7 linked regions of the Canis lupus familiaris genome follow. The protein of the gene in region 1 interacts with the protein of each later gene in a pairwise test. Links are inferred from orthologs where the notes say so. Each region holds a gene or a part of one and is shown in the gene's direction. Other genes may lie near its edges. The genes, in order: MTUS2, ODF1, CDK5R1, PLSCR4, TAF13, CDKL3 and GTPBP10.

The links.
Region 2: the proteins of MTUS2 (region 1) and ODF1 interact in binary tests that used the Homo sapiens proteins (3 or more experiments, as listed by UniProt). The two-hybrid records come from large-scale screens. The link is inferred for Canis lupus familiaris from reciprocal best matches to the Homo sapiens genes MTUS2 and ODF1.
Region 3: the proteins of MTUS2 (region 1) and CDK5R1 interact in binary tests that used the Homo sapiens proteins (3 or more experiments, as listed by UniProt). The two-hybrid records come from large-scale screens. The link is inferred for Canis lupus familiaris from reciprocal best matches to the Homo sapiens genes MTUS2 and CDK5R1.
Region 4: the proteins of MTUS2 (region 1) and PLSCR4 interact in binary tests that used the Homo sapiens proteins (3 or more experiments, as listed by UniProt). The two-hybrid records come from large-scale screens. The link is inferred for Canis lupus familiaris from reciprocal best matches to the Homo sapiens genes MTUS2 and PLSCR4.
Region 5: the proteins of MTUS2 (region 1) and TAF13 interact in binary tests that used the Homo sapiens proteins (3 or more experiments, as listed by UniProt). The two-hybrid records come from large-scale screens. The link is inferred for Canis lupus familiaris from reciprocal best matches to the Homo sapiens genes MTUS2 and TAF13.
Region 6: the proteins of MTUS2 (region 1) and CDKL3 interact in binary tests that used the Homo sapiens proteins (3 or more experiments, as listed by UniProt). The two-hybrid records come from large-scale screens. The link is inferred for Canis lupus familiaris from reciprocal best matches to the Homo sapiens genes MTUS2 and CDKL3.
Region 7: the proteins of MTUS2 (region 1) and GTPBP10 interact in binary tests that used the Homo sapiens proteins (3 or more experiments, as listed by UniProt). The two-hybrid records come from large-scale screens. The link is inferred for Canis lupus familiaris from reciprocal best matches to the Homo sapiens genes MTUS2 and GTPBP10.

Annotation. Positions count from the first base shown.
Region 1 is NC_049246.1:11,012,810-11,016,943, reverse strand, and holds the start of MTUS2 (microtubule-associated tumor suppressor candidate 2), read left to right. Parts: upstream 1-1,334; 5' UTR 1,335-1,566; intron 1,567-4,134. UniProt on the Homo sapiens protein: Binds microtubules. Together with MAPRE1 may target the microtubule depolymerase KIF2C to the plus-end of microtubules. May regulate the dynamics of microtubules at their growing distal tip.
Region 2 is NC_049234.1:4,268,204-4,272,470, forward strand, and holds the start of ODF1 (outer dense fiber protein 1), read left to right. Parts: upstream 1-1,467; 5' UTR 1,468-1,607; coding exon 1,608-1,924; intron 1,925-4,267.
Region 3 is NC_049230.1:40,470,969-40,475,055, reverse strand, and holds the start of CDK5R1 (cyclin-dependent kinase 5 activator 1), read left to right. Parts: upstream 1-1,287; 5' UTR 1,288-1,355; coding exon 1,356-2,279; 3' UTR 2,280-4,043; intron 4,044-4,087. UniProt on the Homo sapiens protein: p35 is a neuron specific activator of CDK5. The complex p35/CDK5 is required for neurite outgrowth and cortical lamination. Involved in dendritic spine morphogenesis by mediating the EFNA1-EPHA4 signaling. Activator of TPKII.
Region 4 is NC_049244.1:41,959,168-41,962,667, reverse strand, and holds part of PLSCR4 (phospholipid scramblase 4), read left to right. Parts: intron 1-65; 5' UTR 66-86; coding exon 87-93; intron 94-1,161; coding exon 1,162-1,272; intron 1,273-3,500. UniProt on the Homo sapiens protein: Catalyzes metal ion-induced ATP-independent rapid bidirectional and non-specific movement of phospholipids (lipid scrambling or lipid flip-flop) between the inner and outer leaflet of the plasma membrane and participates in the redistribution of phospholipids between membrane leaflets.
Region 5 is NC_049227.1:43,177,262-43,179,996, forward strand, and holds the end of TAF13 (transcription initiation factor TFIID subunit 13), read left to right. Parts: intron 1-1,779; coding exon 1,780-1,950; 3' UTR 1,951-2,235; downstream 2,236-2,735. UniProt on the Homo sapiens protein: The TFIID basal transcription factor complex plays a major role in the initiation of RNA polymerase II (Pol II)-dependent transcription.
Region 6 is NC_049232.1:22,530,554-22,534,820, reverse strand, and holds the start of CDKL3 (cyclin-dependent kinase-like 3), read left to right. Parts: upstream 1-1,467; 5' UTR 1,468-1,589; intron 1,590-2,203; exon of another isoform or gene 2,204-2,379; coding exon of another isoform or gene 2,380-2,434; intron 2,435-3,317; coding exon of another isoform or gene 3,318-3,910; intron 3,911-3,954; coding exon of another isoform or gene 3,955-3,993; intron 3,994-4,041; 5' UTR 4,042-4,058; coding exon 4,059-4,223; intron 4,224-4,267. Other genes in the region: UBE2B (ubiquitin-conjugating enzyme E2 B), read right to left, coding at 970-1,013; uncharacterized protein LOC119876780, read right to left, coding at 2,380-2,434, 3,318-3,910, 3,955-3,993.
Region 7 is NC_049235.1:16,228,224-16,231,723, forward strand, and holds part of GTPBP10 (GTP-binding protein 10), read left to right. Parts: intron 1-516; coding exon 517-661; intron 662-3,500. UniProt on the Homo sapiens protein: May be involved in the ribosome maturation process. Complements an ObgE(CgtA) function in E.coli ribosome maturation. Plays a role of GTPase in vitro. When missing, disorganization of the nucleolar architecture is observed.

The DNA of each region.
Region 1 (4,134 bases):
GCTGTGAAAACTGTCCTAGATTCTTCCAAAGGGGAAGGGAGAGCTGACAGAATGATTTCAAAAGACAGTGTGGAAAAAAGGTGCTACTTCGCGATCCCCGGTCACCAAGTCGTTCAGCTTGTTTAAAAAGCTAACTTGTATAGAACACTATAGGTAACATGGTAGTTTGGAAAAAGACACCCTTAAAAGAAAGAAAAGAAAAGAAAAGAAAAGAAAAGAAAAGAAAAGAAAAGAAAAGAAAAGAAAAGAAAAGAAAAGAAAAACAAGCCCTAAATGGCACAAGGGGCAACATCACGGTTTCATTTTTTTTAATAGTAAACATTTGTTCCACTGCGGCTGAGCCAGAGGAGGAAGTTCTCTGATCTCAGTTGCCTTTTCAAACCTTCCAGGTGCGTTCCTAGGGAAGCCGGGGGCAGTTCGGGTAGGGCTGGAAAGGTCTTGGAGAAGTCCATGCGTCTATTTATGAGAGTGGCCAAGCTCTCTGCAGGCCCGCAGTATCAGGCACAGAAGCACCGGCTTCTAGAAGGACACGCCTGCCTTTTCTGCAGCCATTACCAGAGATTAGCTTTGGGTCCTTGTGAATCAGGAATCCTACTGCCCCCCCCCCCCCGACCCCCCAAGTTTTTCCCACTTCGGATCCCAGATTCCTCCTGCTGCCCGGAATTCGAATCTTGTCTCTCTCTTCCGTCCCAAGAGGAAAAACAGCGGATCCCGTTCTCGGACGCCGCCTCGGTCCTACTCCGTCCTTCCCCGGGGCCGCGGGGACCCTCGCGGCCCCGCGCCCCCGCCCGCCCCCGCCCGCCCCCGCCGCCGCCGGCCCGGAGCCCAACGCGGCGCGCACGGAGGCCCCGCGGCCCGCAGAGGGCGCTGCGGCTCCCCGGCGGCGCGGCTGCGGTCGGCGGGGCCGGGGCCGGGAGGAGGCGCCCGGGCCCCGGCGTGTGCGTCTCGGGGCGGCCGGGAGGGGGTGCGCGCCTCTGCCGCCCCGCGCCGCCCTCCCGCGCCCGCCCGCTCGCCGCCCCGCGCTGTCCCCCCGCCCGCCCCCGCCCCCGCCAGCGCCGCGCGCTCCGAGCCTCGGGCTTCGCCGCCGCCCGCCCCGCCGCCCGTCTTTGTCCGGGAGAGGCGGCCGGAGCAGCGGTGGCCGCGGCGGCCGAGCCGGGCGTGCTGTCGGCGGGCGCCGGCCGCGGGCCCCGGGGGCCGGGAAGCGCCCGCCGCGGGGGCGGAGGCGGAGGCCTGGGCGGTGCCCGCGCGAGGTGCGTGCGGGGGCGGGGCGCGGGCGGGGGCGGGGCCGGGGCCGGGGCGACGGTGCGGGCGAGCGCGCTGCAGGTGCGGGGGCGTCCCCGGCCGCGCCGCCTCCGCGGGCCTCTGGGGCAAGTTTGCCGCGCCCCTCCCCGCGGCCGACCTCCGTGGCCCGCCCGCCGCGTCCGGACCTGTCGCTAAATAGAAAACTCGAGCTGGAAGAGGCGGCGGAGGGAGCGGAGGAGGCAGCGCGTCGGCCGCGGGCCGGGACGGAGCCCCGTTGAGGGCAGCGGCGGCCTCTTGGACGGCTGCCCCCGCTCTTCCCACCAGGTGAGCGAGTCGGGCCGGGGCCACGCCCGCCGGCAGGTGGCCGAGTCGGGGTGACGGCAGCCGGGCTCGGAGCCGCGCCGCGCCGCGTTTACCTGGCTTTTCTGTGCTCGCGGCACTTCTTCCTTCCTGCCCGCACCACCTGCTCGGGCTGAGGTCTGGCAGCTCATTTGGCGCCTTCGCTGCTGCCAGGTCAAGCGTCCTGTTTCGGGAGGGGGTAGGTGAGCGGACCCGAGTCCTTCCCTCCGCCTCCAGCTTCGGGTAATTTGTTCTGTGCCTTCGTCTTAATTTAGTATGAATGTGTTATTTCCTTTGAGCTTTAGGATGATAAAGCAGTGAAGCGGTTTGCTACATCCATTTTTTTCCCCTTCTCATTCTGAGCCTGTGCACAGAGGAATTTCAGGCACAGAAGTGATGTTACTACCGTTCTATTTTAAATACAAACATGGAAAGAAGTACTCTTGGCAGGGTACCAAAGGCGCCTGTACTCTCTGTTATATAAGTACTTCAAAAAATAGTTGCTCATTGGTAAAGTTATAATAGTGATTACCAGAGCACCTGAGGAGAAGGGTTGAAGAGAAGTCAAAACTATTTTCAACCCCAACTTTACTTGAAGAGAAGCATGGTCTTAGCTTGAGGGATCCTTTAAGATGATCTAGGGAGGGCGCGTCCTTTGAACTCATTAGACAGATTTGCAAAACATTAAAAAGTAAAAGAGGTTCTGTAAAGGCTATTGAGAAACTTCGTGAAAAATTTTGACTACTTATTGATAGAAATAAAAACAGAAGATCCCACAGATCTCTCTTATGGCTTTCAAACTACTGAATGATTTTCTTTTTATATCTGGTAGAGACTTAGTAATTTTGAGCTATCGGTTATTAAAGATCCCTCCTCACTAAAACTTCTTGTATCCATGGTTATTTTCTTTTCAGGTAAGAAGAAGACAAAAATAGAAAACGTCGGAAATTCTGATGTCTAGGCACCCCCTCTTGTGCCCCCACCTTAGTATTCCTATCTGTTTTTAATTTATATTATCATGGTTTGGGGCGATGCTGAGGCATTTGAAATGTTAAAAGCTCTCTTGCTGATTCTTGTGCAGCCAGGGCTGAGACCCATTGGGGAGCACTGCTCCTTTTAGTTTTATCACCTTTTAGCCCAACATGTGGCTTCAGTGGTGTAAGGTAAATAAAAAAAAAAAGTGGTTAAAATTTGGGGGAGGTTATGCCTAGATGGCTCAGTTAGTTAAGCATCTGCCTTTTCTCAGGTCATGATCTCGGGGTGTTGGAATTGAGCCCCACATCAGGTTCCCTGCCCAGCGGGGATTCTGCTTCTCCCTCTTTCTGCTCCTGCTCTCTCTCTCCATCTCCCTCAAATAAATAAAATCTTTTAAAAAATGGGAAAGAAAAACAGTATTGGGAAGATGTGTCGAAGAATTATAGTATGTGCACTTTTGTATTGTATCCAGAGGTCTTCCTTGATTATTTTTTAAGCCTGCAGAAGTCCTTGTTGTTTCTCAGAGACCCATAATTCCAAGTAAAATATGTAGAGGAGTCCTAAGTGGGACATTTCTTTGTGCCGAGGTAATAGTGAAGTTGAGTATAGTGTCAGGGTTTTGCTTCTGGGTGCACGAAAAGATAATCCAGCCTTATTAAAAAAATCTAATTAAAAACTTAATGTAGACTAGTAAATTAAGTGTGAAAAGCTTTTTATTATTTTTAAGGTTGGAAATAGACCTGGCTGCTGACTCAGGGTTTTCTGTCTACCTTATGTAATTTCAAATATTCAGCTCTTATGGGTGGTTTATGAAGGCTTATGTAAGAACTATGCTTTTTCATACTCTGTTCAACTCTGTGTTTTGGCTATTACATAATTGACACAGTACTAGATTGTTAGAGCCCAAATAGGGGAAGGATGCACAACCCCAGGCCGGCACATGGACTTTTATAATGAATTGTGGCTGCCAAATTAGAGGGAACGGCAGGGATGGAGGTTTGTGAAAGAGAGATAAGAATAGCATCTAGAGGATTGATGTAATAGAATGCTGTTAAGCTTAGCGGTTTTCTAGAGATTTTAATGCTGCGGTATAAACCGCTCTAGTCTTTTATTTCTCCCAGCAGAGGCGGATTTACTGGGAAGCTAATGAATCTTAAACTTCAGGGCCCCTCACACAGGTTTCTTCTGAGCCCCTGGAAAGCCACTAGCAATGAGTTCACATGGTCATACCTAATTTTGTGTTTGCATTTTAGATTTTTTAAAAATAAGGATGACACTCTCTCCACCCCCCTGCCTCCCATCATATAAATGTAATGCTCTGCAAACTTGGAATCTCTTCTGGCTCTCAATTATTTTTGAATGTTAAGTTAACTTGTAAAAATGCTTTTTCTCCTTTTAACATCCCCAGTCTTCTGAAAAGACAAAATTTGAAATCTGGCCAATGGTGTAGTTGACCTACTGAAAAAGAGCAAAGTGCTATAACCTAGGGCTGTGTGGAGCTACTGAGATCAGGTGGTTACCTGGAGAACCAACTCTTTGCCTTGTGATTTTGCACAAATGGGGCTTTTTTTGGACCTG
Region 2 (4,267 bases), on another chromosome or scaffold:
ATTTCTAAGCAGAGAGAACAGTGTGCAGACAAGTCTTGAATGAGGTGAAATGAGTAAGACTTTGAGAAAGGCCATTGTGACTAAAAAATAATGAACTACAGGAATAACGATGGGGGAGGAGAGAGAGAGAGGGAGACAGAGGCCCTATTGTTCAGCACCTTATAAGGATTTGGGCCCTTTTTCTAAGAGGACAGAGAAGGGTGGGTGGTATTAGGTGGGGGATAACAGATTTATATATGAAAATCACTCTGGCTGAGAGGTGGAGAATAGATAGGATGGGTCTGAGTGGATGTGAGAGGAAGGGGACACCACTGGGTTTCTTCTAGCCATCCCTATAGTCATCTAATCTAGACTTGGCTGCCCCTGCTTTTCAAAAGGCACCTCTCTTGTTGTCCCCTTTACCATGCTGGGGGATGTATACAGCTATCAGACTTACCTTTCAACTTCTCTCAGCAGAAAAGAAAATTAGTCATTCTTCATTATGCTAAAAATAAAGGTCAGCCTGCTTAGATGGCCCACAAGTCCCTTCAAAACCGGTCCTGTCTCCTTCTCCAGTGCTACATCCACCTGCTTGCCCTCAAGTACCCTATGCTGTCCTCCATGAAAAGGGGACTTGAGAGCTGGGTAGCAGGTTGAAGGGACTGGCCCAAGGAATAGAAGTACCCAAACCAAGGCTGAGGTTGAGCCCATGGCCCAGCATACTGACTGATCCAGCTGGGAGCACAGGAAACTGGCCCAAGTGAGGTTTTTGGGTAGTTGGCTTTAAGCCACTTCAGACAGTTGGCTGTCCCAGTACTAAGGGGTAACACCTGAGAAGCACTTGGAGACAGGGCATCTAGAGGCTTGGATGAAAGACTGGAGGAGAAATCGCTGGGAGGTGGTGACCGACAGGAGCCTGAGTCCTGGGGAGCAGGACTCCAGGGACTGGAGCTTCAGGATAGCAGGGTGCCAGATAGCAGAGAATGCGCAGGACTCAGAGACTCAGGGCCACAAGGCCAAGGACCAAGTCTGCCTTGAGAATGACATGGTCAGAAGAACCACAGGAAAGCTCTGTAAAGCAAGCAAGCTTTCCATATACGGACGAGATGGCAGCATGACTCCTAGAGTATGAGGGGGTGAAGCTAAGTGTCAAGTGAAGGCTAGAGGTACAAGGGCACAGAGAAAGGAGCCAGGGCCTCTACCATCCCCTACACTGAGATCTTAGTGGCTGTAACCAGGCGCGCGCGCACACACACACACACACACACACACACTCAAGCCAAGGACATGGACAGTGATAGCCATGAGCCCCAGAGAGCTGGGATTGCTTGAGGGCCCCACCCCATGTCAAGGAGAATGAAATCTCAACATTAGTATGGTTCTGGGAGTAGCTCTGTAACTCTAGGGAGGGTCTCTGGAGAGCACGGCTGTGCATAGTTCACATGGTAACCAGAAGACTATGACATACTTAGAGGGTGGTGAGGTCACAGAACTCAAGCTTTAAAGTAACTGAATCATGCGTGCCTCATTTATTTTTAAAAGAAACTTCTGAGAAGAGCTTAGAATAATTTTTTCCCCCCGAGTGCCATTTCCCAAAGGTACTCACAAAACAATAAGGTGTGACTGTAATGGCTGCACTGAGTTGTCTTCTGGACAGTGTTAGAAGGGACATAAAGAAGGTGGACCGAGAACTGAGGCAGTTGAGATGCATTGACGAATGTACACGGTGTCTGTGCGACCTGTACATGCACCCGTACTGCTGCTGCGACCTGCACCCCTACCCCTACTGCCTGTGCTACTCGAAGCGAGCGCGCTCCTGCGGCCTGTGTGATCTCTACCCGTGCTGCCTGTGCGACGTCAAGCTCTACTGTCTGCGACCATCTCTCAGAAGTTTGGAGAGGAAAGCCATTAGAGCCATAGAAGATGAAAAGAGAGAGCTTGCCAAGTAAAAGGACTTTTTAAGATTTTTTATAAGTCGGTGTATTAAACCTTGGGAGTTGAAGGCGGGGGAGGGGAGGTAACAGCTGATACTTGAACAATGATGATGACAAGGGTTCAAAAGAATGACTCTGGTGACTTAGCAAAGATGTAAGAAAAGAAGAGTAGACGGGTCCATGATGGGAATTGTGAGATTCTCAAAAGACAATGTAATGATGTCGATTGGCAAGGTTGTTGTGGGTTTATAGCAGGAGTGCCAACATGATAGATAATGTGGCTTTAATGAGGGAAAGAAATAGGAGGTGTCATTAAAAAGCTATTGAAAGGAGCAAACTAAACATTTTTTCTGGTTATGAGTAAAGTGATTTGAGGATATTTGGGCTTACAGAAACGACTACAGGAGAAGCAATAACCATTGATCAAATCCTTAATGTTCGCCAGAGGCTTTAAGAGCAGGGGAGCAAATTGAACAACAGAGGCGTTTCCTCGGTTTTGTAGGAAAACCCTTCTCCCATTCCCCAACTCCAGGCAGCCTTAAAATCCATCTGGAGTAGGGACGGTCCTGTTGACTGCCTCCTCCAGGAGTGGCAAAGGTTGTACGTATGAACTATAGAACCGAGGACTTTCAGAACAGAGTTGAGAGGGTTTTAACTGAATTGGGTAATTTTCAAAGCTACTTTTTACTATTTTGTTTGATTACATTTCCTTTTATGGCCTGGAGAAAGCTTTCTATTTCTAACTTTCCACTGTATGCCATCTAGTCTGGTATAATTGATATAAACAGTTGCTGAAAGCACTGTACTCTAGTTAAATAAATTTATTTATTATAATAAATAAATAAACTACACTGGGATACTAGGTAGATGTAACGCAGAACGATGAAGCATTTTATGTGTTGCTGTATTGAATGAAAGAGGCAAGAAAAGCTACTTAATATGCTACTACTTTTAAAAAGATGGGGGCACAAATGGATGATAGACCTTTTGATCCAAACATACTTGACATATAACACTGTAATTTAAGGTGTATAGTATGTTTGATACATCTATATATTATGATGATGCCATTGAAGCGATAATTAGCATCTCTATCATGTTCCATAATTATCATCCCTTACCAAGTCTGATGATCATAATATAATATTGTTGTCTATATTCACTATACTGTGCATTAGATCTCTGGGACTTATTTACTACTCATTGCAAGTTTCTATCCTTAACATCCTTCCTATTCTCATGGTAGATTAATAGATTAGAGAGGTAGGTAAGTAGGTAAGTGGATGTATGGGTGGGTGGATGGGTGGCTGGGTGGCTGGGTGGATGGGAGATACAGACACTTGATAACAGTGACTGGGATATTCCACCAGAAAGGGCAATAGAGCAACTGTTGTCCAAGTCATCAGTCACCAAAGGTCAGGAACAAACCCCTCTCAATAGTTTGGAATGGGGCTATAGCCTATAAACTCATCTACATTCAATTTTAAAGTTTTTATTTTTACTCCTTAGAGGATCAAGTTATGTAAGTTTTGCACACTGTGAGTCAGGGATTTTTAAATTGGTCTATAGGAAGGGTTACTTGTGAGCAGGCCTGTCTCCACCATCCCTGTGCCTCTGAATCCTTGAAAACACTTGATCCAATCCCTTCCAGCCTTTGTCTCCTGCCTGTCCCTTTTCTCCAGACTCTCCAGAAAGAGTGCCTCTCTGTTTCTCACCCTGTGGGCACCCTCCACCAGCTCTAAGAGTCCCTATTTCTTGGCATGCAGTAGACACAACCTCAAGCTTAATTCTCAGCAGTGTGGTTTATATAAGACAGAATGCTTTCTATGGGTTGTGATATTTTTCCCAACAATGCCTGGATTTTTGCTGATTTTTTTTCTGTGCCTGAGGCAGTATATAAAGTTGGTGATGTCTTTACATGAATTCTCCAGTCTCTGAACTGATAACTGAGTCCATTCTAGATATGACTTCAGGCTTACCGTCCTGTGTCTCCTTCCAGCCACTTTCTTCCCATTCATACTACCTTGTGAAACCCTCCTCTGCTCTATTTCTGACAGTCTGACGTTTGACTATCCAGGAGGGCTTAGTGTCACCTGCAAACCTAAATATTCAATTTTCCTGACCATGGATGAAAACATTAAATCCTGATCTAGCCCCAGTCCCAGAGGACTCCTACTGTTAATATTTTTTCTTCCAATGAAATGCTGCTTCTTCCTTATCTCTCACCTAGCTCCCAAGCCCTGACTAAATAGATCCAGAAATATCATGTTGATTCAATTTTTTAAGACAATCTTTGGTGTGAAACCTTGCTCAAGGCTTTGTGAGTTTAGAAATCACATTCACATGACCTTCTA
Region 3 (4,087 bases), on another chromosome or scaffold:
CCCGGGGGACGAGGGTGTTAATGGGAAAAGGGGTCTCGGGAAACCCAGCCTCCGTGGATGGCTTCTCGCGCCGCAGCTGCGGCCCCGGCCCCGGCCCCGGCCCCGGCCCCAGCCCCAGCCCGGCGGGCCGCGCGTCGCCTGGGCGGGGACGCGGCCGAGAGCGCCCCCGCGGCCAGCGGCTGCGGGCGCCGCGGCGGGAACAAAGGCAGCACGTGTCTGGGCGGGGCGGCGGGCGGGTTCGGGCCTCGGTCCCGCCCCCGGCGCCCCCCCTTCCCCGGCCCCGCCGGAGCTCGGCTGCGCGGCGCGCCGGGGACTCACGCGGCCGGGCTGCTGCTGGCGCGGCGGCGCAGAGCGGGGCGGGGCCGGGAGTACCCGCCGCCGGCGTCCGAGTCCGGGTCCTAGATGGGGCGCGGCGACTAGAGGCGCTCGGGCCCTGGCCGCGTCCCTGCCCGCACCGCGCACGGCTGGCGCTGAGGACCGCGGCGGCCCCGACCCCGGCCCCCGGCCCCCGGCCCCCCGCCCCGCCGCCGGAGCAGGCCAGCCCCGGCCGTACGTGGGCCGCGCGCGCGCCCCCGACAGCGAGGCCGCCGAGGTGCGCGCCCGGGCGGGAGCGGGAGCGGGCGCGGGAGCGCGGCGGCGGCGCAGGCGGCGGGCGGCCGGCGGGGGGCGGGGCCGCAGCGCCTGCAGAACCTTGGACAGAAGCTCCGGAGCCGCCGCCGCCGCCGCCGCCGAGCGCGAGCCCCGCCGAGCCCCGCCGAGCGCCGGGACCGCGGGCCCGAGCCGCGGCGCGCATTGCGGAGGGAGGGCGCGGAGCGCCGGAGCCGCCGCCGCCTGCCCGGTAAGCCTGAGCCTCGCGGCCGCCCGCTGCCCCCCGAGGAGCCGGGGCCGGGGCCGGGGCCGGGGCCGGGGCCGGGGCCGCGCGCGGTGTGTCGAGGCGGGGGTCCCCGGCCGCTGCCGCCTCCGCCGCTGCCGCCGCCTCCGCCGCCGCCTCCACCTCCGCGGGCGCCGGGCCCCTCCCGCTGCGGTCGGGACGCAGCGGCCGCGGAGGCGGGCGGGGGTGCCGCAGTGGAGGCGGCCGGGCTGCGGCGCGGGGGCGCGAGGCCGGGGCCAGGGCCGCGGGGGCCGCCTCGGCCCGGGTGGCGGAGCGCGGCGCCGAGCCCCGCCTGGTGCTGAGAACCATCTTGTTTTCCACGCAGATCCGAGGGGGCCGCAGGCGCCCCCGGAGCGCCCCCGCCTCCCGCCTCCCGCCTCCCGCCTCCCGCCCCGGACCGCCGCGGGCCCGCTGAGCGCATCGCCTCCGGCCGGCAGGCTGGGCGCGCAGGGGCGCGGGCCCCCGCCCGGCGCGCAGCGGCACCATGGGCACGGTGCTGTCCCTGTCCCCCAGCTACCGCAAGGCCACGCTGTTTGAGGATGGCGCGGCCACGGTGGGCCACTACACGGCCGTGCAGAACAGCAAGAACGCCAAGGACAAGAACCTGAAGCGGCACTCCATCATCTCCGTGCTGCCGTGGAAGAGGATCGTGGCCGTGTCGGCCAAGAAGAAGAACTCCAAGAAGGTGCAGCCCAACAGCAGCTACCAGAACAACATCACGCACCTCAACAATGAGAACCTGAAGAAGTCGCTGTCGTGCGCCAACCTGTCCACGTTCGCCCAGCCCCCGCCGGCCCAGCCGCCCGCGCCCCCCGCCAGCCAGCTCTCGGGCTCCCAGACCGGGGTCTCCTCTTCTGTCAAGAAGGCCCCGCACCCGGCTCTCACCTCCGCGGGGACGCCCAAACGTGTCATCGTCCAGGCGTCCACCAGCGAGCTGCTGCGCTGCCTGGGCGAGTTTCTCTGCCGCCGGTGCTACCGCCTGAAGCACCTGTCCCCCACGGACCCTGTGCTCTGGCTGCGCAGCGTGGACCGCTCGCTGCTTCTGCAGGGCTGGCAGGACCAGGGCTTCATCACGCCGGCCAACGTGGTCTTCCTCTACATGCTCTGCAGGGATGTCATCTCCTCCGAGGTGGGCTCGGACCACGAGCTCCAGGCCATCCTGCTGACCTGCCTGTACCTCTCCTACTCCTACATGGGCAACGAGATCTCCTACCCGCTCAAGCCCTTCCTGGTGGAGAGCTGCAAGGAGGCCTTTTGGGACCGCTGCCTCTCCGTCATCAACCTCATGAGCTCCAAGATGCTGCAGATCAATGCCGACCCGCACTACTTCACACAGGTGTTCTCCGACCTGAAGAACGAGAGTGGTCAGGAGGACAAGAAGCGGCTCCTCCTGGGGCTCGATCGGTGAGCCCTGTAGCCCGCATCATGGCTCAAGGATTCAATTCATTTTTAAAAATTTATTATTAAGCAAATCAGATTTTGTGTACAGTATGTGTCTAGCAGAGCCACCGAGGGCCTCTTCCTTCCCACCTTCTCTCCTTGGGGTTTTCTTCAGCCCTGCCAAGAACTCTGGGCGCTTTTGAACTCCCGAACCTTGTGCAAAAACCCAGAAGATGTGTTCAGAGCCACCCAGGCCACTGACTTCTCAACTTTGGGGAATTTGAAGGACTGACCTGTCTCTGCCACCTGTGCCCTTGCTGGACCAGGGCAGGTGAGGCTGCCCGCCGCTCCTGGCATGGTAGCCAGAGAGGGGCCTCTGGCCAGTTGGCCCTGGGGAGCCATTGCTGTTGCCGGTTGGAGGGCCTTTCTTGGCTTTTGTTTTGGGTCATCCGTTCTCCCAGAGGCCTGTGGAGCTGGCCACCCTGACCGAGCCACGAATGGGGTTGTGAGGCGAGGTGCCCACCACCCTGGGACAACTCGTCGAGGAGAAGCTGGCCTGGTACAAAGATTGTGTCCTGTCGTTTGACCATGCACCACCCTGGTTTGCTCTTTTTTCTTTTATTAGGGAGAAGAGTTTTCCTTTAGTGAAGACATGGAACTTGCTCCCTGGCCTCCTTACCCCCTGCTCCCAGCCGTGTTGGTAGTGTCGGTTAATGAGCTGGTTTGACTCATTAAGTTCTTTGATTTGGGGTCCCAGCTAAAGGGGTGGGGTGAAGCTAGGGACAGCTCCTTTCCTGGGCGAATCTTTCCTTTGACTAATGCAGCTTACTCACCCTGTGGCGAAGGCCAGGGCGGCTGCAGGTGCCCCTCACCGACAGCCTGCCTTCTGGGCAGGTGGGGTCGTCGTGCCTGAAACCAGCCAGTGCTCACCTGAGGGCTAAGGCCTCTTGCTGGTGCATGACATTTGTTCCTGCAGAGCCGAGGTGATGTCGGGGACCAGAATGATGGGGTAATGATGTACACCCCCCGCCCCCGCCGTCCCCATCCCTGTTCATTTAAAGCTGTTTCCAAACAGTTCAGTTTCTTCTGAAGACGAAGCCTTGCCCTGCGAGGCCCAGTGAGACCACTGGATCTTGGAGACAATTCCAAGGCCGGAGTAGCGCTCCTCATGGCTTCGGAAGCCTGCCATTCTGCACCTGATCATTTGCAGCTGCCGATTTGGGTTTCCACCTTATCTTAGTGGCTGTGAAAAACACACGACATGTACTTAATCAATTTCCTTTTTGATTCTCCCAGATTGGTGGCTTGGGACTTGGGAGAGGACCAGGAGAAGGGAGCGAGTCTTCCTCTGTGGCCCATCACTCCAGCTTTGGGGAATAAAGGTCAATGTGAAGATGCCCTGGGGAAGTCTCCCTTCCAGTCCCAGGGAGGGGGGGTGGCGGGGGGCAGGCAGAGGGTCCTCTGACACAGGATAGGTTCTAGGTGGCTGCTGGTTTCAGCAGAAGCACTACTGAAATTCACACGAGAGAAAGCTGTGAAACCGGGGTCTTACTTTAAGAGGCCTGGAGCGGAGCTGCCGCTTCCCTGGGGAAGGGGAGGAGGGCCCGCGGGGGGCTGGGATGGCGATCCCTCGCCCCAGCTGCGCTGAGCCCTCCCTGGGCTGCCAAATAAGCTGAGGCGGAGCTGGAAGGAACCTCGGCTGCTGCCACAGACTTGGCCGCCACGCCTCTATCTCGGTGGGAGCTGTCACCCAGCCCGTCTGTTCAGATCCCGCTGCCACGTGTGACCTGAGGTAGGAGGCCCTTGGGGGGCAGCGGGGCCCAGAAGTGGGGAGGG
Region 4 (3,500 bases), on another chromosome or scaffold:
CTCTGTGTCTCTTGTGAATAAATAAAATCATAAATAAATAAATAAATAAATGTTTCATTTTTCAGGACTAAGTGGAATTCTTCAAAATGTCAGGTAAGATTTTATGAATAAATTTTAATATACTTTATTCTCAAATATGGATTATGTGATATTTTCCTTAAAAATTGGAATTTATTTCCTTGAAATTTTCTATTATTGTTTAGCATTTGGAGAATGCATCTTTTATATACATATGAACATTTCTATCTATCTTTGACAGAAAAGGATTTAAATGGATTTATATTGGCACATATGTACTGAAAGATCTCTAAAGTATGTGGGGAAAATTAAGTAAAGGACAAAGTAAGAAATTAAGTCTGCAAAAAGAAGCAGTAATAACAAGCCTGTGATGACAGCCTGCCCATATAGAGAAAGGCTCAGAATCAGGTCCTGCATTTTCAAGCAAATGCAGGAGACAATGGAAGGAGAGAGATACCACATTTATGGGATTTGTGTATTTCATGAGATAAAAACCAGTCAGTTAAGAGAATAAGAATTTTACCTTGTAGTGAATCCAGGCAGACATTTCTCTGATTGCAACAAGGGCACAAGATAGCATCATGGAAAGTGAGTTCACTCACCTTTCACCAAGGTCACTTTCACTGGAGAGGTATATTAAACCACCTCTAACTGAGTTGTGTGTGGCACTGCTGTGTTTTAAGGCATTACGTATTTATCATGTGATGTTTTGAATTTATTAAAACACAGTTATTTTCCAAAAAGGATTGGGGAAAAAATAAGATTCACTCTATATATTACTGTATTCTCCATATTAGGTAGTGAAGAAAAGAATTTTTGCTAATGTGTCAGGAGTTCATGTAGGTAGGCATCAGCATGAAGTGAGCTGAACCACTAGCATGAAAGTGTGTTGCTTTGGTCAGAGCACAATATGAATAATTGCTTCATTTTTTTTTTTAAATCTATATTCAGCCTGAAAATTCATCAGTTCGGGTTAATACAGGTTATTACAGGTTAATATGTAATTTACATAATGAATTATGTGTCTTTTAAAAATATGAGTATATTTCATATTATTTACTTTCACTGATAAGAAAAATGAACATATTCTCTTATCACGTTATCACTTCCATTGTAACTCATGTCCCCTCTACTTCTCCCAAGGTGTGGTCCCCGCAGCCCCTGAGCAACCTACAGATGAAGTAGAGAATCAAGTAAAGTCTCCTGATCCAAGGCCTGATGCACCTCCTGACTACAATTCCCATTTAGTACTAGGTGGGTTAAATAACCAGAAAGATTATTTTCACCTCTCCAAAAAACCATACTAATAGTTAAGATTGCTTTTAAAAGTAATTAAGTAATTAGGGCAGCCCCGGTGGCTTAGCGGTTTAGTGCCGCCTTCAGCCCGGGGTGTGATCCTGGAAACCTGGGATCGAGTCCCACATCAGGCTCCCTGCATGGAGCCTGCTTCTCCCTCTGCCTGTGTCTCTGCCTCTCTCTCTCTCTCTCTCTCTCTCTCTCTGTCATGAATAAATAAATCTTTAAAAATAAATAAATAAAAGTAATTAAGTAATTGAATGATTCAATAAATAAGTATTCTTATATATTTATGTAAGTATATCATGCCTCCAAAGTGCCAAGTAGTTTACGGGATGTCCATTAGAATACATTTGTAGGCACCTGAGGAAGGAATTTGTATAAAACACTGATGGTAATCTCTCTACTCTGTTATGAAAATATGAAGAAGATGTTCTAAGGCCAAGATGACAGTAACTGATTTTAGCAGGGATTAACAGAAGACGTAACTGAGGAAGTCAGATTTTTCTGGCTTGATAAGGAGTTTCTCATTCAAAGAAAAGGAAGGACTTCTTTCTGGCAGAAAGAACTATATGTACAAAAGCACAAGGTCATGAAAGTTTGGTATGAGACATGCAATGGACAAATGCAAGAGAAATGAGGGTGAATGGCCTTGAGTGCTGATTAAGGAATTATATAAATAATTTTGTAAGTCTGAATGCACTTCTGGTGGTGACTCAGTGAAATAGATACTCATAATGCTAGTGGTATTTGAGTTATTGTAGTCTTTTTAGAAAGTAATTGGCAATGTGTGAAATTTTTAAAATTAGAAATGTACTTACTTTTGAAGTAAGTAAGGAATTAATTAGGATTGTATACAAATACATTTTAATGATTTAGAAAATGATAAAGTATAGCAGTGTTTCTCTAAATGTATATTTAAGTGTACATTTAGAAGTATAAACCATTGAGTTAGTCTGTGAAAGAAGAGAAGAAACCCCAGGACCCACAGGATAATGGTTTTGGCCCTACCCATAATATCTGTGGGTATTTACCCAAAGGATACCAATATAGTGATCCGAAAGGGCACCTGCACCCCAATGTTTATAGCAGCAGTGTCCACAATAGCCAAATATGGATAGAGATGTCCATTAACAGATGAATGGGTAAAGAAGATACGGAATATATATAGTGGAATATTACTCAGCTATCTTATGCTAAATGAAATAAGTCTATCAGAGAAAGATAATTATATGATTTCACTCATGTGGAATTTAAAAAACAAAACAGGGTCATAGGGGAAGAGAAGGAAAAATAAAATAAGGTAAAATCAGAGAGAGAGACAAACCATAAAAGACCCTTAACTATCGGAAACTGAGGGTTGCTGGAAAGGAGGTGGGGGGGGGGGGGGGTTTGGGGTAACTGGGTGATGGGCATTTAATTAATGGGGGCACTTGATGAAATGAGCACTGAATATTGTATGCAACTGATTAATCATTAAATTCTACCTCTGAAACTAATAATACTCTATATATTAATTAATTGAATTTAAATAAAATAATCATTGGTAACTATGTACTTAAAAAAAAAGAGAGAGACCAGGGGGCTCAGTTAACTTCTGCTTTCTCAGTGTTTTCTGAAAACAGCAGGGCTTCCTTTTCACCTTTCCCTTGTACGTATGCATATCTGCTCCGATATAACCCCTCATTACTGGCTCAACTCCTGCTAAATCCAAGGTCTTGACAGTCCTAAATTATAATCATACTATATCTGACCATTTCTCCAAATTTACTTCACTGACTGTCAACATGATCTAACTTATATTCATAGATCACTATATCCAAGAACCTAGATTCGTGTAGAACAAAGGCTCTCTCATTTCCAAGTAACATTGGTTATAAGTCATGTACTGTTCGTTTGGGAAAGTGTGTATTCCTCTCTGTATCAAAAAATTAGCCAGAGCATCAGATATATCATGCAAATCAAATGACTAGATAAGTTGAAAAACATGGTGCAGAACATAGAACTGAATTTTCAGTTATGAAATTAACAAAAATTCACTGTGACCGCCACCTAGTGGCTGAACTCTGTACTTATTTATGATGACTGATGCAAAATATGGCCCTGTAATTCACAGGAAGGAACTTGAAATACTATAGAAGTATTCGGCTTTAATTAATTTCTTTAAATTCCATTATTTAATTTCT
Region 5 (2,735 bases), on another chromosome or scaffold:
AAGTTGTTTTCTAATATATTTAACCATATCTCTCTTATATAAATCATTTGCAGATTATTTTTCATTGAGTAGGTAATTTTGAATGATCATATTCATGAAATGTCCTCCCATCTCCTTGTATATACTTACAGGGATGGGGATACTGAGTTTGGTTGTGTTCCTTGACTTTTTCTATTTATTTATTTTTCTTTTTCTTTTTTTTTCTTTTTTTATTTTTTGTTCCTTGACTTTCTACCTTGTATTATATTATAGATTATTTCTGCATCGGGCTCCCCTCAGGGAGCCTGCTTCTCCGTCTGCCTGTGTCTCTGCCCCTCTCTCTCTCTAATAAATAAGTGAAATCTTAAAAAAAAAAAAGATTATTTCATTAGTACAGAATAATAGAAGTAAAATTCCTGTGAATATTCCAGAATATGCATTTTTAAAAATTATTTTCCATTTATAAAAATAATATTAAGTTTAGGCGATATTAAAAGGTTCAGGAAAGAAAATAGAAATCTGCAATCCTTCCACCTAGAAACGACTTATGCTGAGATTTTGCTGAATATTTTCTTGTTTTTTTTTTTTTTTTTTTTTTAAAGATTTTATTTATTCATGAGAGAGAGAGAGAGGGGCAGAGACACAGGCAGAGGGAGAAGCAAGCTCCATGCAGGGAGCCCGATGTGGGACTCGATCTCGGGTCTCCAGGATCACGCCCTAGGCTGAAGGCAGGCACTCAACTGCTGAACCACCCAGGCTGCCCTTCTTGAGTTTTTTTGCACGTATTTTTAAACTTTATTAAATTGAAATCATATAGTATATTTAGTCTTAGAGCTTGCTTTTTCAATTAGATAAGTAGAACTCTGACCCCCAGGTCGTTGCATAACACTGTAATATTTTTAATGGCTTCTTAATATTGACTGGATATGCCCAAATTTTTTTATTTAATGCCTTATTAAATACTTAGTTTCCCCTTTTTTAGTCATTAGAAATAATGCTATGATGAACCTTTGTTTTTGCACAGGATGAATATGTGATATGAGATGAGATTTATTTGAATTTGAGAAGACCTACCACTATTTATCAGGTACTGAGACAGAAAGCTTTAATGAAATGTGCAGTTAAAAAGAAATTACAGAATTATTTTATATAAATAACATAAAACAATAACAAAAAACAAAAAAGAAACCAATAATTTGGGCAGCCCGGGTGGCTCAGTGGTTTAGCGCCTGCCTTCAGCCCAGAGCATGATCCTGGAGACTCGGGATCGAGTCCCGCATTGGGTTCCCTGTGTGGAGCCTGCTTCTCCCTCTGCCTGTTGTCTCTCTCTCTCTTTGTGTCTCTCATGAATAAATAAATAAAATCTTAAAAAAAAAAAATCACGGGATCCCTGGGTGGCACAGCGGTTTGGCGCCTGCCTTTGGCCCAGGGCGTGATCCTGGAGACCCGGTATCGAATCCCACGTCGGGCTCCCTGGTGCCTGGAGCCTGCTCTCCCTCTGCCTATGTCTCTGCCTCTCTCTTTCTCTGTGTGACTATCATAAATAAAAATTTTAAAAAAATCAATAAATTTGATAGCTTTTATATCCTTAGTATTGTAAGATGTTTATAAACCATTAAGAGAAATGTTGCTGTAATACAGTAGAAAGTGGATAAACGACATGAATAGAAAGACAATTTACAAATGAATAGCTATAAAAATTAGAAGAGAAAATCTTCAGGTTCACCAATATTAAATAATTGGAAATTAAAAGAGTAAAATACTAGATTTGTTTTAAGTTAATTTATTTCTTTGTAATAGACTCACAAGGCAATGTCAATTGGAAGACAAGGTCGGGTACAAGTCGAAGATATCGTCTTCTTGATTCGAAAGGACCCAAGGAAGTTTGCTAGGGTTAAAGACTTGCTTACTATGAATGAAGAATTGAAACGAGCTAGAAAAGCTTTTGATGAAGCAAATTATGGGTCTTGACACTTTCTGTATTTTCTGAAGCTTCATTATTTTCTGGGGAAACCGTGTATAATAATTGTATATTTTCCACAGTAAGGTCCCAGTATCTATCCATGTATATCCAAGATGGAGAAACAAAGTTTTCAGCTTTTATTTTCAGATCTTCAATTTTAGAGTGAAATTTGAGCCTTGAATTGCCTGCCCTTATATGACTATACTTGAATTACTTGTTGGGTTTTAATGACCACATGTAAGTTGAAATACCTTGCAAACCATGCAGTTCCTTCTGACTTTGACCGTCTAAATGATGAAGTAGTATTTATGTGTTGAGTGTATTTGTGCCATTGTAGGCTATACAATAGCTGTTTAATATATGAAATCTAAAGGGCACCTTTGATTATGATTGCTAAGATGTTTCATGTATTCTAAAGTTTTTAGACTACAGAAGTCTAAGAAATTATTAAGAGAGTGAACTGGTTTGCATTTTTTTTTAAAGGAGAAGGTAATACAAGAAAATAATAGTGTTTTGGAGGAATGTTTATCGGTCTTAAGATACTTGTTTTTTAATATTCTTTAGATTACAAGAATGATTTTTTTGTTTGTTTTTTTAAATGAAAAGTTTCATGTGAATTCTTCCGTATTGGAAGGCTTTGATTTAAAACCTTTTGGACTTAATAATGAACTAGTTGTCAAGTTTTAAGAGAACTCATTTTCCTAGGTCAGATTAAAACTTCTGTAAATAAATACTTTCAGTAGTAGAAATGGTGTTGCTTAAAAAGCTGATGGCAGGATAAGCATTTGAGATA
Region 6 (4,267 bases), on another chromosome or scaffold:
AAAACAATGGCTTCCAAATGCCTCACCTATGGCTTTATAATGGCGAAGTTAAAAGGTTGCTTCCTGGACAGCTAACCCAAGTTTCTATGAGCAGGTCTCCCCAAGAAAACAACAAAACCCCCACAAAACGTGCAGTGGATCGTAATGGTAAGTTTTCTTATTTTTATCGGCCTCCGTACTTCCAAGTATCCAAAGGTAAACTGAAAAAAAGGTCACTTCCTCCTTACTAACCCCAACACCTCCTAACAAAACCCTATTTTACAAAAGGAGGCCGAGCGAGTATCAGGTTAGCGCCAGTCTCAAGGAAGGCATTTTTCCAGACTTTGGAGGCTATAGATAGGGCTTTAGACACCAGGCCACAGAGCTGAGTTCCAGAAGGCCCTGGCAGCCCAGCCCGGGCTCCCAGCCCGAGTCCCAGCTCTCTAAGCCAGTTCTCAAGGTCCTTTCGGGCGGCGAGGGAGAGTCGGGTTTCCGAGGATGGGTTAATAACCCCCGGACCTCGCGCTGCAGACCCCACCCTCGCTGCAGAGAGAATGGGGGGGGGGGGGCGCTTTTCATCCCAACCCTGCCCCTCAGCTAAGACCGCAGAGCCATCCAGCAAAACTGGTGCAGCAAGCAGGGAATATGATTCTGCAAGGGTCTGCTTTGGGGGGACAGAGGAAGGGGAAATGAAGCTTGAGCTCTAGGACTAGACGTCGGGGGGCTGACCCAAGTGGGCAGCGGGGAACCCTAGGACAAACCATAGCCATCTTTTTACTTTTGGGGGAGGGGTACCGAAATTTCTTACGTCGGCAGAGTGAGCAAGGATGAAGGAGTGCGAACCGGGACTGGGGCTGGGCTTCCTTCGGGACCCCTGGGCCCAGAGGAGGCCCTCTTAGGGTTAGGAGAGGAAGGTGTCCCGGATCCCCGCCCTGCAGCCCCATAGCTGTGGGGAGGAGCCGTCATCCAGGCGGAGGTGAGCGCCCTTACCGCTTGAAATCCCGCATGAGCCTCCTCCGGGCCGGAGTCGACATGCTCCCCAGCTGCCCCGCGGTCAGTCTGAAAGAAAAGAGTCCCGCGCAGCCCCCCCACCCCCCGGCGCGGCGGCCGAATCACTGTGGGTCACCGCCGCCGCCGAGGCTGCACAAACAACCCTGCAATGACGTCTCCCTCCGCCGCCTCCAGATCCCTCCGCCCTCCGCCAGTACCACGGGGTGAGGGGGTTGGGGGAGAAGGGCACGGGGCGTCTAGACCCGTTTTGGGAGCTCTGCGGCAGGGCTCTACCAATTTTGGCTTCCTAATATAATAGATAAATTAGTCCTCTCTGTTCTCTGATTGGAGGTTGTGGATTAAGAGACCCCGAAACCGAAACACCATCCTATGCCTCCCCCTTTTAGTAGTTTAAGCTCGACCGGGTGGGGACAGAGAGCCGCATCCGGGGCCAGAGATTTCAGGGAAAGGAGGTGGGATGACGTAAGGTCACGTGACCGCCGGCGGCGTTGTCAACAATCCACCCCTGAGGGGGAGGGGACGAAGTATCTAGAACCACGTGTCCCTATGACGAGGTTGGAACGGATCACGTGAAAGTGTCGTCTGAATCTGAGTCTCAGGTCTATGGAGCGGGTAGTTAAGTTTATGGGGTTGAGGGCGGGTATGGGTCTTTAGTAAGTTTTCCCTCCAGTTTCATGAAAAGGGTCTGCGGTCGTGGCGGAAGCAAAAGCTTGTTTTGCTTAAGTTTTAAAAACAGCTAAAAGTAATACGGACTTAAAATCTTTTCTGGTTGATTCAGTGGCTTATCAAATCTGGTACCTGGGGCAGAGTGAGGGAACCTCTGTTTTTCATAATTAGCCCAGCATTGAAATGTTGAGGCCCACACCAACTAAAATTCCCCGAAATGCTTCCATGAGGCCACCAAAGAGCCTGTATGTGCATCACAATGGGGTTTGCAGGGTTGGAAATTCCGAAGACAAAAAAAAAATGGTATAGAGATTGTCTTAAGGTTTGTTGACTATCTCTATGGAATTACAGAATTTTATTTTAACATAAGCCTCCTCTCATTTGAGGATTGGTGTCAAAATGTGTCAAAGTCCATGACTGGCTAAGATAGGGTACATGGAGATGAGATCGCAAAGCATTTAGAAGGGTGGCTGGTTGTCAAGAAAGCCTAAAAACTTGGATGTGGGGAAGAGATTTTGCAGACGTGGGTGGGAGTTATATAGCTAACCTGGATAACTCATTTCAGGTTTCCTACACCAGCAAGTAAGGTGCAGATGGGTCTGAGATGTCCACCAGGTTGCTCAGAGGTGTTGAGTTCCCTCCTTCCATTGCCTTTGATTCCTGGCCTCAGGGCTTTGCTGGTCTGGAGGACTCTGAACACCTTATATCCTTCTGGGTAATTCTTCAGCCCAAGGCATAGTGGGAGCGTTGCACCAAGTTGCCCATAGTTTCCTGGAAACTGAAAGCGTTAATTTCCCTCACTTTCTTGCTGTCTCCTTTTCTCAAAACCCTGAATTCTATCTTTTGCTTTTATAACTTCATTGGTGATCAAGTAAGCCAAACCTAACTCTTGATAGGTTCTGCGATGCATCCACAAATGAAATTCTGAAAGTTAAAAGCTGAATATTCTCATCTTTTGCCTCCCACAGTAGCGATCCTAATTCTCACCATAGCTAAGGATGAAGACATACGGGTCAGTATGTATGCAGTAAAATGCCAAAGAAAATCTTCAAAAAATATCCCTATTGGATCATTAGGTAGCAATGTGTAATTGTTCTGGAATCTCACAGTGTATGGAGGCTGTCAGGCCAGCAGAACCCCATGTCTAGTTTTTAAGCAATTAGATAATGTTTATCCCCCTTTTGCTGTGTCCTTTTATGTCGATTTGTTTTCTCAAGGAGGGCGTTTCTAAAAAGGAGTACTACGAGTTCGAAAAATTTCTAAGCATATAGCAAGTGTTCAAGAAACATTAAGAACCGTCTTAACCCCGTCTTAAGGATGAATGCCGACCCCTGTGGTCGAACTCAGGTCTATGGAATATTAATATAAATAGGTAACTTAGACGACCGTAATTACACAAGACTTCCTTGGAAGACTTGTTTTACAATGTGTCTCTATTTCACGACTCAAGCCATCCTTTTAGGACCCAGCACCTGCGGCATGTTGTTCTTTGGCCTGGGAGCAAGCCTCCACCCTTCTCTAGGAGACAGACTCTCGGGGCAGTAAAATGTGGATCCTCCCCTCACCTCTGCTCAAAACTCAAAACCAACCTTGTGAGTTGGTCTCAACCCATATAATCCCCACCCCGACCCCCAGAAAGCTTTCCCTGAGCCTAAGCCCACCGGCAACTCATTTTCAACCCTTTATGATTTTCTCTTCCGGGTCGGGCCGGGCCGGGCCGGGCGGATGTTCCTGTCTTGCGCAGTAGGTCCCGAGCGCGGGGGGTCTGCGGCGCCGTTGCCATGGTAGCGGGCTGCCGGAAGCTAGCCGCGCTCGCCAGCTCGGAAGCCTCGGTGTCCGGTTGTTCAGCCGGGTCTGCGCGGAGCCAGGCCGGCGGGGCTACAGAATGGGCTGAGAAGTCGGCGGCTTGACCGGACGAGGTCGACTGCGGGGGAAGGGGCGCAGCGCAACACTGGTCCGGGACCATAAGACGTCGGGTTTGAGGAGCCGGTGGGGCTGAGGTTTTCTTGGGTCCGGGGGCCAGAGCTGTAGGTGACTTCCGCCTTTCGGAAACCGCGCTTTTGACGGGGGTATGGCAGGAGGTGTGCGGACCACGCTCCTGATGGACAGGTGGCACGTAGTGAGGGGCTCTGAAGCCTTCGTGTGGACGGGGATGCCTGAGGCAACAGGAAGCCCCCTCGTGGCTGTGAGGTGTGCAGCCCCACACAGACACCCTCCTGCCTCGTGGGCGGAGTTCCCCAAGACGTGCAACCGTCTGTGGAAAAAGAACAGTTTTCGCGTTCACAAATGTCAAAATACGGGTTTATTGTGGAGATGCATTGGCCAGCTTGTACGCATGAACGTACAAATGTCTAACTTTTTTTTTTTCCCTTTCTTTTTATGAAGAAGAATCGGGCTTGAAAATGGAGATGTATGAAACCCTCGGAAAAGTGGGAGAGGGAAGTTATGGAACAGTCATGAAGTGTAAACATAAGGATACTGGGCAGATAGTGGCCATTAAGATATTTTACGAGAAACCGGAGAAATCTGTCAACAAAATTGCAACAAGAGAAATAAAGTTTTTAAAGGTTTGCTTTTTTTACCTTCATTGGTGTAAGTCAAAAGAGGAATT
Region 7 (3,500 bases), on another chromosome or scaffold:
ATTCCAAGGTTGTGAAAAATGTGCATATTTTCTAAAATTGTTTGGAAACTGTGGGGAATAGCTCCTCTTCAATGTCAGAATTTTTAAAAAACTATTTTAACTGCTAATTTATAAGAGATATTTAAAACTTTATATAAAAGTTGTTTAGGGGGCATCTGGATGGCTCAGTTGGTTGTGCATCCAACTCTTGACTTCAGCTCGGGTCATGATCTCAGGGTGGTGGGATCCAGCCCTGAGTCAAGCTCCTCACTCAGCAGGAGTCAGCTTGGGATTCTCCATCTCCCTTTGTCCCTCCCCTGCTAGTGCATGCACATGTGCTCTCTCTCTACTAATAAATAAATCTTTTTTAAAAATTTTTCAAAATTAACTGCTAGATATAAGATTATTATAAACATACAGCTCTTTGGATTTATAAATTGGAATTTTTTTGGCATCTATTTCTAAATGAAAAATGTCATTAATGATTAGCTACACTTAGTAATCTTCATTCTAAGTATCTTTCTCTGTCTTTTTAAGGAGAACTCAATAAAGAGCAAGACAGAATTTTGGTAGCTGAAGGAGGTCTTGGTGGTAAATTACTTACAAATTTCTTACCACTGAAAGGCCAGAAACGAGTCATTCGCCTTGATCTAAAACTTATAGCTGATATAGGCCTAGTGGGGTAAGTAACATTTGTATTTTTATTTTTATAATTTCAGAGAGATAGTTCATGAGTAGGAGATAAATGTAAATGGTAATTTGGGACCAGTATTATTTATGGAATAAATTTATGGAATTTGTGCATTGTTTGTATTGAGAATGCTGCTAAATACAGTTATTTTAATATTGCAAACATAGAGTTTCACAGTTAATATTTATTTGTAAAAGGAAGATAATGGCAATTGAGTAGGCTAGTGGGAATGATAGACAATGAATCAAGAAAGAAAAATCAATCAAATGCAGTAGTATAAGAAGGTAAAAAGAATATTACCAGATATTTAAAAATAAAATTTAAAATCCAAACCACATTTTATGAAGTGTATGGAAGGAAGTAAAAAGAGAAAAAATGAAATCTTCTTACAAGTCTTAATTAATAGAGGTATTGCTATCTTGTTGATCAGATGGCTAATGGCCAATACAGATAGTCTCAACCATCAGACTTAGACACTGTTGGAGCACCAAGTTGGATCTCGATATGACTGTTTCCTTGTCCTTCATGATCTGCTTAGGTCCATTCTCAGTACTGCAGACCCCACAATGTTATCCTCTTTTACAGGCTTCCATTGTTTCATAGAACAGTGTTGGTATCCCTGGGTGGCGCAGCGGTTTAGCACCTGCCTTTGGCCCAGGGCGTGATCCTGGAGACCCGGGATCGAATACCACGTCGGGCTCCCGGTGCATGGAGCCTGCTTTTCCCTCTGCCTGTGTCTTTGCTTCTCTCTCTCTCTCTGTGACTATCATAAAAAAAAAATAAAAAAATAAAATAAAAAAATCATAGAACAGTGTTGTTTAGCTGTAGAGTTTGCAGTGCTGGCACCTGACTGAGGGAGATAGAGAGCAAAATAGAAAATAGGTAAAGGAAGGGAAGGCTTCAGCTTTGCATTTCTTCTCTCCCTGTCTGCCTGGCCCCACTTCAGCATTACACAGTAGTCAGAACACCTAAGAAAAAGGTAGGGAATACTGCTTTTTTGCTGGTTCTATTTCAAACTTTCAGTTCCACTCTTCACCTCACATAGCTTCTAATTCATCTTCTCTAGGCATCTCACTGCTTTATTTACCAGAGTCATCAGTCTGAATCCGTCACCTCTTGCCATGCCTGTCTAGCTACTAAGTCTTAACAGCAGTGCCCTAGAATTCATAAAGGTCCCATTCTTGCTAAAGTTATAATACAGAAAGATGTGATCCTGGTGTTCAGGTTTGCCATTTGCATTTAGTTTTTTCCGTATAGTTATGAGGCATAGTTTCTGTAACACATATTTTTCACAATGTGGGTTTAGTAGGTTTTTATGAACAAGACTGAGAATCTAGCCATTCGCAGTCTCATTTGTTACGAAAATGTGTTTCAGATTCTGTAAACACTTTTACAGACTAAAGAGCCTCACAAGACTAAGTAATAAAGGTGGGATGAGGATGGGGAACTCAAGTGAGTGACTATTTGGGTTAGAGTTTCATATCCTCTGAAGGCCACCTGGAATGTCTTAAATAAGTTGTAGAATGTCTCTAAGCCTTTGTTTTCTCATTTTTAGTAGTGGCTGGAGATGGTAAAATGTAAGAAAACACATTTACAATACATTCCTTGGATTTATGAATGTTCAATGAATGAATGGTAGCTGTTACCATCATCATCATCACTACATTGTCAATGTATTGGAGAGTACATATAGTACTAAGCTTTTCAGAAGTGGTTTTGCTATTACAGTCAATAATTGAAGCATCGAGGGTTTTTTTTTAAAGCATCGAGTTTGTTAAGTACAATGCTTAACATGTATTTTAGTGTTTTTAAATTGGGCAACTATTCTTAAAAAGTTATTACTGTGAGTACCAGCGTAAGCAGATACCTGTTTGCTGGTTTCAGGAATGAACTGCATCTTAGAAGAAAGGTGTCCTATATACATATTTATTTGTACTGCTCTTCTCAAATCTGATCTTTGCATAGGTTGTGATATGGGAGAGCTTTGTTCTTGTCTCCTGGAGTCGAAAAATCAATCTCGCAGACTGTAACATAGCAAAGTGATAGAGGTTTATTAAGCAGAGATACAGAGAAAGCTCTCAAAAGCCAGAGGGGTTCTGACAGGGTTGCCCCTGAGGGCTTTTATAGTCTATCTTTTATAGGGAACTGGGGGGGGAGGGGACTTGGTAAATTTCCTGTCAATATCAGGGTGGATATTTAGAACAAACATGGTGGACTTGTAACATGATGTTTCTTTTTTTTTTAATAATAAATTTATTTTTTATTGATGTTCAATTTGCCAACATACAGAATAACACCCAGTGCTCATCCTGTCAAGTGCCCCCCGTCAGTGCCCGTCACCCATTTACCCCCACCCCCCGCCCTCCTCCCTTTCCACCACCCCTAGTTCGTTTCCCAGAGTTAGGAGTCTTTATGTTCTAGTCTCCCTTTCTAATATTTCCCACACATTTCTTCTCCCTTCCCTTATCAAACAAGATGTTTCTTTGTAAATATCATGAGCACAAACAAGGTGTTCCTTCTCTCTGGTTAATGTCTCCTCCATAATTCTCTACATCTGGGGTTTCTGTGAGCCTAGTAGCTATTAAAGGGGAATACTCCCTAACATTTTGGAACTAGGGAGCCAGGTTTATTTTTTTCTGTTTTTACTGTCTTACCTCTGTTTTCTTGGGATGGGTAGGAGCCTGATTCTGGGGCCTTTCTCTTATCTTTCCCTGACTAGCCCTGTCTGCCCCTAACTCATTCCTACATCAGTTGGATTTCAGTCTCTAAAATTTTTATTAAGTACTTTTCAGGTAAAATCTCAATTATCATTTCTTCAACCGTTAGCATC